3 linked regions of the Drosophila melanogaster genome follow. The protein of the gene in region 1 purifies or fractionates together with the protein of each later gene. This does not show direct contact. Each region holds a gene or a part of one and is shown on either strand. Other genes may lie near its edges.

Region 1 (5,208 bases):
AATGGGTATGTGATAGTCGGGGAAATTAACTATAGTGATTTATTGAAAAACATGCAAATACTTCTCACATTCCGAACTTTTATTAAACTCTTTTTTCCCCAATTGAGTCCTGCCCAGGATTACAAGTCATAGCAGAGCGATTTATTGGTACAGGGACAACCATCGATGCCGTAACGCCCAATCGGAATGTCCGTCTGGGTCTCCTTGTGCTGCGGTCCTGGCAACTCGTAGAATTTCTTACCAAAGTATCGATCCGGGAGATAGTACGATGGATACTCCGCCCTCAGCCTCTCGTGATCCTCCCGCAGAAATTTTGCCAGTTCGGGAGTAGCCCGTCGAGCTTCCAGGCGATACTGCTTCGGCTTGGCCATTCGGATTGGAACTTCCAGGTGGAGCTTCGAGTGCGGTATGTAGGACAGCAGCTCCTGGTCGAGTTTCACTGCCTGCTCTGCACGAATTTGTGCGCAAGTGGCACACTTGCATTTTCCACCATGGTAGCAGTACCGCTTTCGTCCATCCTCGTCCACCATCAGCAGTGGGGTGCAGATGGGCGACGGAACCGGTTGTGCCTCCGTCTGCGTGGCAACCGACTCCTGGGCGGGATCGGAAAACATTGTGGAAAGAGTGGGGTTCAAATCGGAAAGGTACGAACGATTTGGATTGCAGAATGAAACTAAATATCGGAGAAAAACAGATGTATTATCAGCAAACTCCTTGGCAACTAGATATCAAAAATTACAAATTTTAAATTAAACATTTTATATTGTGCAGCTTGATTAAAGTTTCCAAGTGGCTGGAGACACCTCTGCTGCATCCACAACTAAGTGCAGAGTGAGGATATGCAGCGGAGGAGTTCCACAGCCAGGTGAGATCCCCATGCCGATCACAATCTTTTATCCTCAATCGTTTATCCCCCGTGCAGTAAATGTTTTTGCTGAGATCCTTCTTATCCCGCTTCACAAAACCACAATCCGGACACACATGGGACATCGCTGGATTTCTTTGTGCAGCCTTCATCTGAAGATAGTAATCCTTGAGCTTTCGCTGACGCACTTCCTCGAAGAACTCGCGCATTTGTGGCGAATCCCGAACAGTGGGCTCCTCGATGGGCTTCCTACTCGCTTGCATTGGACAGACGACATCGTCGTGTTGAGCATTCTTCGACATTTTCAACTGATCGTGTCGGCCGCTCGTTATTTTGCCTTTTCGCGAAGAAGAGGACATATATGACATGTTATCCAAATCCGTGATCCTGATCGAAGCACTTGTCCTCTTTGGCACTTTGGATGGCATGCTGATATCTCGACTTTGCTGCGATCCATTCGTGAACTTTCGAACGTAGGTGTTGGCCCTGGTCATTGACCCGGTCGTTTTGAGTAAATACCAGTTGAGGCCCATTGGTAGTTGGTCGATAGTCGAACTGCAACGGTAGGATAGCTTTTTCTAAAACTGGAAATTTTGACTAAAAATATATCGATACCTGTGATTATGGAAAATAGAACTTAATCCAAAGGAATCATTAAACTTTGCACACAATAAACAAAAAAAAAAAACTAATTAAAACTAATAAATAGCGTATCCCCCTATCTTTGCGTCATGATATCTTATCATATCATTTTAACATGCCAAATTGCATCATGCTAATCATTAGGTAGGTACTGCTTCTCTATAAACCATAAAGTGCTTTTAATGATTAGAAAGCTTTTCATTTCCAATTCGCTCTTATCGTGTAATCTCTAACAACGAATGAGCTTTTGGAGAGTAGTACAAAATGAGCTATATGAAATGGTTTATGCTCATTCGCTATCCACAAGCGAAGCGGTTGGGATCGTCAGTACCGACGAAATGGAGAAGATCGAGGCTGAGAGGCAATGGCTGAGATACACGGTTCTTCCGTCAATTCTGAGGAACGGGCGCCTGGTGGACAACTACAGCGAGTCCAAGGTGACCACATTCCATGTGGGGGACATCGACATTGATGTAATTGGCCACTCGGAGGCCTTTATGCTAACTTTTTGCTACCGGACAACCATTAATTTTGAATACGACGGGCAAAAGTTTCAGCGAAAAATGGTGGTTAAGGTAGGTTTATTCCATTCACATAGTATAAATAAATCTTAAACAATCTATCTGGATATCTAAAAACACAACGAAAAGATTTACTATACTCGCGGAATTTAAATTATATTATATAAGTGCCTTAACTGCGTACTACTTACCAGTTTTGTTTTCCAGCAAACTCAGATAGCTTAGTGAGAGTGTGGGTTTTATGGCAAACATTGTGAAATAGAGGGAGGCATCTCAACAAAAGAACAAAGCGAATTGATTTTGAATTCAAAATAAATCACATCTAATGATGAAGTTTACTTTGGCATGCAATGACCCCAGAATACCAATAATTAATTGTTTTTTTTTTTTTTTGTAGAAAACACCTGCTATGCCACCAGAAATGTATGAATCCATACAGTTTGGGCCCCTTTTTACCAACGAGATAAATTTCTATACGGAAATTCTGCCAGAGTTTCAGAAGTTCACCGATGGCAAGTTTGCCGCACCCAAGTACTATTACGGCGAGTTGAACCAGCATTCGGCTGTGGCCATTCTGGAGAATTTCGCGGAGCAGGGATGGCGGGTCACCAAGGATCGTGTGGGTCTGAGTCTGCAGCACGCCATGATTGCCGTGAGTTACCTGGGAAGGTTCCATGGCTTTGCGTACGCCATGAAGCACAAGAACCCGGAAAAGTTTGCCCAGCTGACTGACAATCTGAAGGAATCTCGCTATGCCAACGATAACATTCATCCGGAATGGAAGCTCACCATGAAAACGAGCATCGATCGAGCGGCCAAGGCGGTGGCCACCTATCAGCCACAGATCGACGAGGAGTTTGTTAAGAAGTTCTGTTTCATGATCTCGGACTATTCGCAATACGGTAGGCAACGGGTGGCGCCCAGGGAGCCACTGGCCACCCTGTGCCACGGCGATTATGTGAGGAATAATGTGGCGTACAGGTACGATGACAAGGAGGAGCCGCAGGAGATCATGATGTTCGACTACCAGACATTGCGAGTCTCCTCTCCCATGGTCGATCTCAACGTCTTTCTAGCCGTGTCCATTTTTGCCGAGGTACGCGATCCAAACTTCGAGGCCATCTTCTGTGAATACACCTTGGCGCTTCATAATAGCTATAGGGAGCACGCCAAGGAGGAGGTTCCGGATTTCCTAAGGTGAGTTGTTATTATTATTCATTATTCATAAGCTTTTAAAATTTCAAACAAGCGATATGAATGCAAATCAAAAATCTAAAAATACTCATTAGGTGCTCGATGTGATAAGATAAGATAATCCTGTAAAGCTTTTTACTGCCAAGAAATAATATAATACTAATTACGCTATTTCTTAGTCGCGGTGAGCTTCTGAAGGAGTACGTGCGTTTCCTGCCGTACAGCTTATCCATATCGGCCAGTTTCCTCATGAGTTTGGTGGATCCCTTGGACATCTCGCCCGAGGAGATGTTCGCCTTGCAACTGTCTGACGAGGAAATCATCGAACGGACCATGAATCGAGGTGGAGAAGTTGTGGACAGGGAGGTTGCTCACCAGGTTAAGGAAATGCTGGAGCTGAGCCAGGCGACAGGGGTGTCCATTGATGACGGCATTGATCTTGACAAGTTGCCCAAGGAGTAATCAATTGATAGCCTAATGTAAAAGTATTCAGGCATTTCAGGTATAGCGTAACTGTAGATAATAAAATAGATGTTAAAGTGACATGCATTACCTATTTAGAGTTTAATACACTGTTTAACCGTGACTAGGAATTTTTAACAGTGGTGGGGGAATCGTAAATTGTGGGCTACTTAAGATTTATAATCTTATCATTGCGTTTTTTTCAAATGTTTATTTTTATAACTGTTGCTTTTGTTTTGATCGCACAACGCCGCAGCTGATTGTGTTTTTGCTGAACTGCCAACCTGTTGTAGTTCTGCGTTAACCAGCACTGTCACACATGTGAGAGTGAAATATGAAAATGGTTCAACCTTCGCGGCAGCAAATTTTGCGTTTATACAAGCATTTAATTCGTTACGGCAATCACCTAAAGCTGACCGACAAGAACTACTTTCTGGGAAGAGTTCGCCACGAGTTTCGGGACAACCGTTCCCTTACGAATCCCGTGGAAGTGGAATTCAGCTTTAAGGTAAGTGCCACTTTCGTATTTCATAACTGATTTACAAAATGAACTTATATTTCAGCGCGGAGAGACCCTGCTAAAGAAGGGACGCATTCTGTAGGAATGCTGCGAGGTCTGGTGCGATTCCTGGCGCTGCCTCCGACCGCTGTGCGCTGCAAGTCCAATCTGGACTACTCCCGCTTTCCCGTGCTTCAGGAGTCGGATATCGAGGAGACCTTCATGCGCGGCAGTGGTCCTGGTGGCCAGGCTGTCAACAAGACATCCAACTGCGTGTTCTTGCGCCATCTACCCACCAATATAACGGTCAAGTGTCACACACATCGTCTAGCATCAAAGAATCGAGTGGAGGCTCGTAAACTTCTACTGGAAAAACTGGACGTGCATCTAAACGGAGAGCATTCAATTGCCGCGCAAGTCAAGGCACAAGAGCAGAGAAAGTCCACTGAGCGGCGGCGGCGACAGGAAAAGCTGCAAGAAATGAAGAAAAGCTGGCAGGATAGAGAGCGCACAGATGGGGGAACCAAATCTACCGATAAAGAGTGATAACTTTTACTTCTAAAACGGTCTTTTAAATATTTATTTTTGGAAAACAATGGGTTACCAACTGGAGAAATCTCCAAAACCATTCGCCAGTTTCTTCTTCTTGGCTGCTTGAGCGGATGTAAGTGGCGCCTCTGGCTTTTTGGCCACTGTCTGAAGTTTCAGGTACTTGCCTACGCCCTCTCTGTACACCTTCAGTGGCTCCTTCATGCGCTTTTGCTGCTCCTCCTTCTTGACAATCTCCTCCTTGCCGGCCGCCTCCTCCTCGCGCTCCTTGGCCAACTGTTCGGCTGCCTCGGCAAATGGATTCACAAAGACCTGTGAGGACTCAATGATGATGTCCTCAATTGGTCTGTCCTTGTTATCCACCTCGATATTTTCCATCTTTTGAAGAGTGTCTAATCCTCCGACAAGCTTTCCAAAGATGGTGTGTTTGCCGTCGAGATGTTTGCAAGAGCGATAGGTGATAAAGCTACGAAACA
Region 2 (4,385 bases), on another chromosome or scaffold:
TTTCGTATATTTTCAGTACGAAACCGATTTTTTGGAGAAACTAGCGATTAGACCAGAACGCGTCGCGCGGTCAAAACAAACTGAAACCGAAAACGAAGCCGAGCGCGAATCTCAGTCCCGTTACAACGAAGCTTTCCATTAAGCTAAGCTTACAAGACGGAGTTCGGAAATTGAACGCGACGAAAGCTCGCCTGGCATTTGTGCCATTTACCAAGCAATTTGGTTTGGTAACCAATTCGGCGGCTAGAAAACAAAACAAATTCCCCAAAATCGTATTCATTGAGCGGGAGAACAATTGAGGGTCTGCTGACAAACCGGTTTGTTGTATTTTATTGTATTAACCTCATCATTGCCCGCTACTAGATCTTCCCACTAAATCAGCTTCGAATCGGTCTGGCATTCATAAAAAAAAACACATTAATTTCTTTCTGAATTCTTATTTGTATACCCAGCATTCCGGTTTGAGTTCAAGAATATACCCACAAAGCCGTATTCTATATAATGTACGATGCAAATACGAGCAGGAAAAGGTAAATTCTCGCCATAGTTAAATGACAGTTGCATAAACCGGACAACACACATGAATATAACGTCAGGCGGCTTTGATCTCGCCTCTATAAATACAGTAAGGCTACTTAAGTTCACTTAGGCTCGAGTAAATAAATCTACAATTGTGATGTTGCACACCAGAGAACACTACAACGATAGTAATGCAATTTAATGATAGTGTCGAATTTTTAATTTTAAATACAAAATCATCACCTCCCGATTTAGTAATCTCTATTTTAAGTGCTCCAGTTAATTGCCCTTAAAGTTTTTTTGACGCGTACTCACATATTTGTTGTATTAAGCGATTTATTTGAAAAAAGACGGTGCTAATATAAGTTAAATGGGCATATACGTAACGAGGGTGCCAGTTCACCGATCCAATGATACCCTGTAAGTGCTATATAAGCCAAAAATGATTTAAATATTTGTATATTCAACTTACTATTCACTTTCATTCATTTAAGAACGACATGTGGTACAATATACCTTTCAGTTTCAGTTTGGTATTTACCTGTGGAATTTGCTTATTTGCTCACGGGCGTGAAAATATAATTACTTGGGTAGTTGTAAAAACAAGCGCATTTTTCGCTCAGTGGCAATGAACTTCTAACGTAATCTGTATGATAAGCTTAATTGCAAGAAGCTGAGGTCGAAACGAGTCCAGATTTTGATAAGCGTGTCTGCATCGATTAGTACCACAATAAGCCCTGTGAAATTTTTGATTTGGCCGCGTGACGTAGACGTCGGGGCAAATTGAACTTTAATTCGAGCTGAATTTCGCATTCCAATTGGAGATAGTGAAGTGTGTTTTCCAAACGAGTTTCGTTTACACAGGCACTTCCTTTTCCACTCAATTTCCGAGCTTAGCATCTTTTCGAAGGTCATGGGATGCTGACAACGGGAAAAATGCCTGTGTAACAATTTGAATTTAACGTTTTGTTCGCGCTCATACACGTGATCATTGTTGTCGGCGGTGATTTATGTTTTAAACGCATACATAGACCGTTTGCCTACTATTTCGGTTTTAATTATTGTTCGTCAGTTTCAGCGCACAATTAACGGAAATGTAAAATTTAAATAACTTATAACGATTATATAAGCAATGCCACGCAGTGGGTCAGTAATGTATTTTTAAGCTTTCCGATTCCCGCGCGTTTTTAATGATCTTTTAAACTAATCACTCTTACATTGCGGGTACTTGCCGACTTATATTTCGGCGCAAACGGGCTTCTGCCATTTTGGTAAATCCTTGTGGTTAGTCAATTTTATCCAATGTATCCATTCGTGGGTCTTGAGTTCCAAAGGCTTACTAAAATTTTCAGCCAATAATTCTCTACTAAGCAGCCAAAAAATTGATGTGGTCCCTATGAGTTGTTGTTTTACAAATTAGCAAGCGAATGCTAATTTATTGGATAAGCACAAACGCCCATGCAATCGATTGGTGTGGGGCGAAGTTCTTTGATAAGCTGGCAGTGCTTGGTACAGATTTCACTGAATTTTCATATATTATTATATTAAAATCCAACTTGCCTATAAAACGTATTTAATTAAAATGTTGTTAATTGTTTGCGGCTTAAAAAACCGTTACCAGTGCTGCCACGCTGCAGTTTTTATATATTTAAGCTGAACGCGTGTTGCCATATCAAGTTATAAAAACTTGTGATATCGATATTAAATGGAGGAAAAGACCGTCGCTAATGTTCCGATTGTTACCTCGTTTTCGTAAGTTTTTGGTTACAATCCGAAATTAATTGAAATATCTGGGCTTAACTGAATGTTTTGAAGCAGGAAAACTATCTATAATGACTGGAGTTACCCCACCAAAACGCTCTCCCCTTTGGATCGGCACACACAGCGGCACTTTTCACTGCGACGAGTTGGTCGCATGTTTTATGCTCAAGCAATTGGATGAGTACAAAAACGCAGAGATTTTCCGCAGTCGGGACAACAAGGCTTTGAAGGAGAAGTGCGATATAATTGTCGACGTGGGCGGCGTTTATGATCATGCCAAGAAATTGTACGATCACCACCAAATAACCTTCAAGGAGACTTTTAGTTCCGTTCGCCCAGATGTAAGCGAGGACTACAACGTTGTCAGGTGAATTCGTGGTGTTAGCGTAAATGAACCCGTATAATCCAATGTAATCCCCTCCAGGCTAAGCAGTGCTGGACTGGTCTACTGTCACTATGGCGAGCGTGTTATACAGAGCATCCTGCAGCGCGAAAAGGGAATTAAACTCTCACCGGAAAACCTGCAAACGGCCTTTATTCAGATCTATAGGAATTTTATCAACGAACTGGACGCAATTGATAATGGAGTGCCCATGTTCGAGGGCGTTGAGCCTATATACAAAATCTCCACTCATCTATCTGCCCGCATTGCCAAACTGAATCCGTCCTGGCAGGAAACTGGCGTAGACATCGAAGACCGATTCAGACAGGCGATGGATACTGCAGGTCGTGAGTTTGTGGACAACGTTGTGGAGGTATCATGTTCCTGGATTCCAGCCCGGGATCACGTACGAGAGGCTCTTAAAAATGCCAAGAACGTCCATCCCACCGGCGAGATTCTTGTGTTGAAGAATTTCTGCCCCTGGAAGTCTCATCTGTTCGATCTTGAAAAGGAGTACAAGGTGGAGGGTGTGCCCAAGCTGGTCGTCTTCAACAGCGGCAATAGTTGGCGAGTGGCCGGAGTTCCAGTGACGCCTGGCAGCTATCTGGGCCGCAAATTTCTGCCCACTCCTTGGCGCGGACTGATGGACGATGAACTATGCGATAAGGCGAGCATCAAAGATCTCGAATTCATCCATCACACAGGATTTATTGGCGGGGCAAAAACCGAGGAGGCTGCCATGTTGTTGGCCAAGAAATCCACCGAGTGGACAGAAGAGCAATAATATAATACGACTTAAAGTTATGCTTTTGAAATTGAAAAACAATAATTAGATCGCATTTAATTCTGGTGTTATTACGCATTTAATTCTGGTGTTATTACGTTATACGGAAAAGAAATACGCACATGTTGTACCTAAACAAATTTTATTTGTATGTGTATTTCGGTTAATGTATACAAAATCACCAAGGGAACCTCTAACATCATCTAGTCCATGCGGGTCTTCAGTGTGCGCTCCGTGATCTTGTCCTTCTCGATAATGTAGACGGTGGCACCCCAACCGCTCATGGCGTCGCGATCGAATGCGTTCACAATGGACTGGGCGATGACCTCAAACAGCTGGTCCGGCTCGAGATCGGGTTTCCACAGGGTTTCGCACATGCCATACAATTGCTCCGCACAGGTGCCGGCCACAACGAAGTCATCGGGTGCGTTGGGGCAGCCGATCAGGTCCATGTTGCAGATAAAAGGCTCCATGGTCTTGGGATCCAGGCCAGCAACGACCGGCTCAATGAAGTACGGGCCAAAGCGGTGCTCGTACAGAAAGCTGGACATCATGGCCGAGAAGGGCTTGGGACACATTTCACGGTTTTCGCGTGTCTCGTACAGATTCTTGCGGAACATCAGGCGATCGCGAACAGTAAGGATGTCCGTCTGCAGGCCTGTGAGCCCGAGGAACATCCGTGGGCCGATGTGGAACACCTTCTTGAAGTCCGTGGAGATCGTCTGAGCCTGAATGCCGAATCGGTGATCCGTGGCAATCGCCACGCAGTCCTTTCCGCGCATGGCCACTACACATCCTCCGTTGTAGGCTAGAATCGACATGGTGTCGTTGCTATTCGCTTAGCTCAATTTAATCAGCAGAAAAATGGAAATTTTGCAAAATGCTAAAAGCCGCCTGGGAAGATGACTTTTTGTTTCTGCTCTGCGTTGCCAGACTGCG
Region 3 (6,390 bases), 5.1 Mb from region 1:
GGCAACTCGCTGATCAATAGCGGCAGTCAGGTGGCCAATACCATAGCTGGGACCATGTCGGCGGCAGCGGCAGCAGCATCCCGCCACAGCGGCACCAAGTACTCCAAGCTGGAGAACGCCCTGGACAGTCCCAGTCACTATGGGCAGACGCATCACGGCGGCATGGACAGTCCGAGTCATAGGTACGTGGGCGAAACAGTGTCCATACAGCAGCGTATGATCCAGGGACAGGATGAGCAGCTAGACATGATCAGCGATTCGATTGGTACCCTCAAGACGGTCTCGCGGCAAATTGGCGTTGAGCTCGATGAGCAGGCCGTCATGCTAGACGACTTTGGGAACGAGTTCGATACCACGGAGTCCAAGTTGGATACGACCATGAAGAAAGTTGCCAAAGTCTTGCACATGAATAATGGTGAGTGGTGCGGCACTTGTGGTATTCAAGGACTATTTTGATTGAAATATTAATGAAGAGTAAATGCTTCAGTGAACCACAATCAAAATTACCCATTGAATACTTTTGTGACTTCTGATTCCTAATTCTTAACTGTATCCATCTTCTTTCACAGATAAACGACAGTGGGCCGCCATTCTCATCCTATCCGGACTGTTATTGTTTGTGATAATTTTGTTTATTATTTTGTAATTGCTTTCGTTGTTCCCAAATCGTTTATATTTAGTGTAAATTAGATTTATTTATGACTTAGCTTGCTTTTGAATTCGGGCTCTTAATTACAATTCCATGTAAACTCCCTTGCTGTATATACACGGAAACATTTTAACCTGATTTATTACCAGCCGCCTCTCTCTATATATATATAATGTAATTCCAAAGCTACGGACAAATGATCATGTAAAGTCAATGTAGGCGGGTAATAAAAGATAACTAACTACTTACATATAAACCAAGTGCTCCAGAGTTCTGTCATTCCCAATTTGGCCAAAGGATACTGCAACTGTAAGCTGTATATACATCGAAGGATATATCTGCATATATATACATACAAACAAAATGGACCTACCAATATCAAACGAGTTATTTAACGAAGAGTCTTAGGAAATTTCACTAACCAAATCTAGCAAAAACTTGTATGCAATTGAGTAAATATATATACTTATAAATTAAATTCCTAATTTAAAGCCAAATGAGGTACTTCTTACGGGTCACCTAGAAATACTGTATGAGTGCACAGAGAGAAATTGTATACATATACAAAAATTTGTTCGCTATTTTGAAAGCCTAAATTAAACAAAAATTGGAAATACAAGCTTTCAAATTTTTTAATGTTTTTAAGGATAGTAGGATTAGTCAAGATGTTATCTTCTGATAGATCAATGATTTGGAAAATGGTATTTAATACCAAATTTTTCTCTGTGCACAAGGAGAGGGTATCAGGCCCCTTCTCATGTTCTCTCTGCGCCCCAAAACCACTCGACAGCCCACTCGATTTGCCCACTCACTCAGCTGTGTTGCATGCTTTTGCCCGGAGCTTTTTGGCGAGCTTACAGTCTGCGCACAGTGGCGCAACCAAAGGGGTATCTTCGAAAGGCTTGAAACATAACCCCTACGGGGAATCCGGACTACGCCACTGGGTCACAGCATAAGCACACGGGCAGAGCGGCACGTTTCCATGTGATGTTTTTCGGGTTTCGGCATTCAGTGTTGTTTGCCTTTTCCGCGGAGCTGGAGTTTTCCCAGCAGTTGGCATATAGTATATATATATATCTCCTGATATTCCGGTAGAAATGTTCAATTGTTGAATTACTTCGGCTAAGCGGCATTCAAAGTTATTTTGGTGAGTGACAGTGCGCAGTGAAGTGAACATACCCACCCATTATCACCCCCAAATATGCAGTAACCCAAAATTCGACTTCCTCTCGGATGTTTGTGGTTGGTTTTCCTATTGTGTGCAGTTTTTGTTGCCGCTGAAAACCTTGAGCATTTTGTTGGCCAAAAATATATAAAATCAATGTCAAACGGCGGAAGATGGGATACCGCTTCCATTTCTTTCCCCCCCCCCCCCCACTTACTGCTCTTCGTGGAAACACTCAGATTTCAGTTGACCGCCAGGTAAAACCAGCTGGTCCGGTTGGCTAGATACTCCTTCTGGGATTTTTCCTCCGCTTTCCCTTTGCTGCCGTGGCTATTAATAAATGCATGTGGCCAGAAGAAGCGAGTGAACATATTTCAGACTACATGTGTTCTTGGTGGCCGTGTGTTTTCCTTTGGACGCCAGTGTGTTGCTCGTGGTTTTCATTGCTGGGTGGGGGGAGCTTTTTCGAAACTCTTATCAAAAGTCGGATTCGCGGGCAGGGATTCGTTCGTTATCGAAACAGATGAGCGAACATGCCGTTACTTTTTAATCAAAAGACGTGTGTAGTTTATGTTGTACGGAAAGTGGACGGTAATAAAACTCAAGTGTCTGGAATTGCAATGCACCATTGCCATAAGCAAATTTCCAATGCACAGTAAGCAAAAATGGCAAAAAAAAACACAAAATTAATTCTGTTGGTGAAAATATCATGTTATATATCAGCAAATTACCCGCACAGACTGTTGTTTATGTATATTATACGATAAGTTTATTGCGAAATCAATTTACAATGCTATTTTTGAAAGTGAAAGGGAAATTGAAAAGCCATATCTGTGAAAGCAAAATGGGAATTTTGAAAAGCAAATTTCCTACAACCATAAGAATTTTTAAAAGGGCTTGTTTTATTCACTTTAACATTTGCAATGGATAGTAAAGCTAACGTATTCACGTTCTGAGATTTTAGGCATGACTGCGAATAAGTGATATTGTATTACAATTTACACAGTTTTAACGCCAAGCATTTGTAAGCTTACTGTTGCATAAAATTGAAAAAAAAATTTACAAATTTTTGAATAGCTTGCAATTTTGAAAAATGCATCCAAATATAATTTTCTAAATATTGTGTGATTAAAGGAAACCATAATGCTTACTGTTGCGTAAAATTAAAAACCAATTTTACAAATTTCTGAATAGATTGCTATTTCGAAAAATTCATCCAAATATAATTTTCTAAATATTGTGTGTTTAAAGGAAACCATAATTAAATAATGCTTACTGTTGCATAAAATTGAAAAACAATTTTACAAATTTTTAAATAGTTTGCAAGTTTGAAAAAATCATCCAAATATAATTTTCTAAATATTGTGGGTTGAAAAGGGAACCATACTTAATGTGCTTTTAAGTATACCAGATTTTTTTCAAGTGTACGCACAATTGCCCACAACCCACTTACTCACACTCTAGCACATTCGAACTTATGGTGTTTATTATTTAATTTGCTTTTCTCCTGTTGCTCTGCTACCCCTTTATTTCCAAACCAGATATTCAGTTACCCGGAATGAGTGGCGCACAGCGGAATCAGGATCGCAAGATCGTTGTCATCGGAGCAGGAGCCTCGGGTGTGGCCTGTGCCACCAAACTGCTGGAATTGGGCTTTCAGAATGTGCTCGTCGTGGAGGCGGAGGATCGTCTAGGTGGCCGCATACACACTATACCCTTTGCGGACAACGTCATTGATCTGGGTGCCCAATGGTGTCATGGGGAACGGGACAACATTGTGTACGAACTGACACGGAAACAGGATGAGGAGCTGCTGGAGTCGACGGGTCCGGTCTACGAAAACTATGAGTGCGTCCGCTCCAACGGAGATGTGGTACCGGAAGAGGTATCTAGTCGCCTGAAAGCCATCGTCGGGGATTCACTGGTCACCCGGCAACTGGAGCTGCGTCACTGCAGCGGTTCCTTGGGCAGCTATCTGACCAACAAGTTTTACGACACTCTCCGGCGTCCGGAAAACTCCGATATAGACGCAGAGGTGGCCAGTGAGTTCTTTGTCAACTATCAGAAATTCGAGAACTCCGTCGAGGCCTCGGATACGCTAGAACAAGTTTCGGGACGAGGTTACCTGGACTATTGGGAGTGCGAGGGCGATATCCTGCTAAACTGGAAGGACAAGGGCTATGTGGAGCTTCTACGGCTTCTCATGCGCTCCAGGGAGTTAAATGTGGAGCATGGAGTTCTGGAGCAGCGTCTCCTGCTTGGCACTCGTGTTGTGAAGATCAACTGGAATCGGAACGACGGACGCGTGGAACTTCAAATGAGCAATGGAGAGACCTGTATAGCTGACCATGTGGTGGTCACGGTTTCATTGGGAGTTCTCAAGGATCAGCACCTTCGGCTATTTGAGCCACAGCTTCCAGTAGAGAAACAACGTGCCATTGACGGTTTGGCCTTTGGAACGGTCAACAAAATCTTTGTGGAGTTTCCCGAGGCATTTTGGCCCGAGGATTGGACGGGTTTCACCATGCTCTGGCGGGACGAGGATTTGGATGACATACGCGGCACTTCTCGAGCATGGTTGGAGGATGTCTTTGGCTTCTACAGGGTGAGCTATCAGCCGAGAATCTTGGCGGGCTGGATAACCAATGAGAGCGGCAGGCACATGGAAACCCTTCCCGTTGATGAGGTCCAGGCTGGCGTTATGTACCTCTTCCGAAGATTCCTGAGGTGGAAAATCCCAGATCCCGCGAATTTCCGCACCTCTGCCTGGTATACGAATGACAATTTTCGTGGGTCCTACTCCTATCGATCCATGGACACGGAGCAGCTGGGAACGGGTGCACGGGAGTTATCCCATCCCCTGACCGTGGTGGCCACCACTCCGGAGAAGGACAAGGACTCGGAGGACGAGGCGTGGCAGCAGAGTCGCTGCGATAGACCCATTGTCCAGTTCGCCGGAGAAGCGTCCAGCGAGCACTACTACTCCACGGTTCACGGAGCAGTCGAGGCGGGATGGCGGGAGGCCAGACGACTGGCCCAGTTTTACGGAATAAGCGTGTCCCGTTCTGGAACCAAATCGCAACTCTAGCTGTAGGCTAGGATATCGTAGAACATGTATAGACGACAGCGATACCTGACCCAGTTATACGTGTGGATGTAGAATTCTGTCTTCGCACTACAAGATACAATCAAGAAAACTGATCAGTACATCCTGGATAGACTTCATATGCCTAAGCTAATAATTTACACATTTGCCATAGGTTAGCATAGGTGACAGATTATATTTACGAGTTTATATGTACGTGAGCATGTCAATATGTCAACAAGTGCGCTGCCCAATAAAGCTGTGTTTAAGTCTTCTCTAACCTAAATAAAGTTAATATATACATCATCAATTGCTAAGCTAATGAAAAACGCTTCCCTCTCAATCGCATTTAAAATAGTTTTTTTTTTTTATTAGTTTCTCACTTGTTTTCAACAATTTGTCACTACGTTTTTGGTGAAATCAGTTTTCGAAATGAGACATGTCGTCACACAGAACTTCACATTGTATCCAATATGCTTCAGTTAGTGAGTGTATATACAACTGAGATACAATACGATTAGCTTTAGGTTTTACGGGGGGATTAACTCTGTACTTTGATTTCAACAACGTGTAATACATACATTTATAATTAAGTCATTCTTTGAACACAAATAAATTTTGTACAACAAGTTTATATAATTTAATTGTAAGTTAGATGCTGGTTGAGTTCAAATTTCCTTCACTTTCTGTCAATAATTATTGTATTCATTACATTGTTTTCACTGTTACGCAAAAAGGTACATGTCGTGAAAAGGACTAAGGCCGGACGGGAGTGCCCAGCAGGACCGCCTACGGGTAAATAGTGTCTCTTCTCCGTTTCTCTAGCAGATTGCTAAATTCGTATGGCAAAAATACTTTGGTGTTCATCAACAAACTGCATGAAATGCTTGTCCACATTTGGCAACCGATCTACTGCACCCACATGGATGGTGCCCATACCGGTTCGTTCTCCAGTCGCTGGACATTCTGGACCAGCTGCTCGAAAGCATTGACCAGTTCGCCGTTGACCAGCTCTACGTCGAAGAAGTGTCCGTATAGGAAATCTATGCGTTCGGCCGACTTGATCATGTCCTCGAACTCTTCGTCCGTAAAACTTCTGGCATTCGCCTCGTCGAATGTGGATTTGGCACGCGCCTCCGTTCGCGTAGCCTTCAGGATGTCCAACTCTGGTGGCTTCACATGGATGAGGAAGGGCTTCAGCTGAGCTGTGCGCAGAGTCTTGATCGCCTGGTAGTGCGGACTCAGCACACATACGCAGCCGGCATTCACAATCGACTTGACACTCTCCGCCGATGTTCCGTACAAATGGCCCTTGTACTCGCCGTGCTCCACAAACTTTCCCGCCTCGATGTCCGCGTCCATTTTCTCGCGGGCCACAAAGATGTACTCTCGTCCGGCCACTTCACCTGTGCGCATTGGTCGGGTGGTGTCTGAAAAAAACGAATAGGTTTTCTATTAAAGATGTTCGAAAAGAGGTCCATTTGTTCACTT

What was found. The genes of interacting proteins can lie anywhere in the genome.
Region 2: the proteins of JhI-26 (region 1) and CG11980 purify together in Drosophila melanogaster (affinity purification with mass spectrometry, with the first as the bait; one large-scale study listed by BioGRID). This does not show direct contact.
Region 3: the proteins of JhI-26 (region 1) and CG7737 purify together in Drosophila melanogaster (affinity purification with mass spectrometry, with the first as the bait; one large-scale study listed by BioGRID). This does not show direct contact.

Annotation. Positions count from the first base shown.
Region 1 is NT_033778.4:16,287,527-16,292,734, forward strand, and holds JhI-26 (juvenile hormone-inducible protein 26), read left to right. Parts: upstream 1-1,793; 5' UTR 1,794-1,845; coding exon 1,846-2,082; intron 2,083-2,219; exon of another isoform or gene 2,220-2,425; coding exon 2,426-3,225; intron 3,226-3,389; exon of another isoform or gene 3,390-3,401; coding exon 3,402-3,684; 3' UTR 3,685-3,807; downstream 3,808-5,208. Other genes in the region: CG30324 (uncharacterized protein), read right to left, coding at 120-614; CG30099 (uncharacterized protein), read right to left, coding at 745-1,398; CG42372 (uncharacterized protein), read left to right, coding at 4,025-4,192, 4,248-4,286; CG30100 (uncharacterized protein), read left to right, coding at 4,289-4,729; CG7747 (uncharacterized protein), read right to left, coding at 4,784-5,198.
Region 2 is NT_033777.3:9,001,805-9,006,189, forward strand, and holds CG11980 (uncharacterized protein), read left to right. Parts: upstream 1-2,212; 5' UTR 2,213-2,246; coding exon 2,247-2,271; intron 2,272-2,291; exon of another isoform or gene 2,292-2,334; coding exon 2,335-2,647; intron 2,648-2,704; coding exon 2,705-3,446; 3' UTR 3,447-3,527; downstream 3,528-4,385. Other genes in the region: CG31100 (uncharacterized protein), read right to left, coding at 1,737-1,786; Prosbeta3 (proteasome beta3 subunit), read right to left, coding at 3,650-4,267.
Region 3 is NT_033778.4:11,221,215-11,227,604, forward strand, and holds CG7737 (uncharacterized protein), read left to right. Parts: upstream 1-2,230; 5' UTR 2,231-2,384; coding exon 2,385-2,469; intron 2,470-3,355; coding exon 3,356-4,902; 3' UTR 4,903-5,532; downstream 5,533-6,390. Other genes in the region: Syx6 (syntaxin 6), read left to right, coding at 1-415, 570-646; metro (menage a trois), read right to left, coding at 5,809-6,329.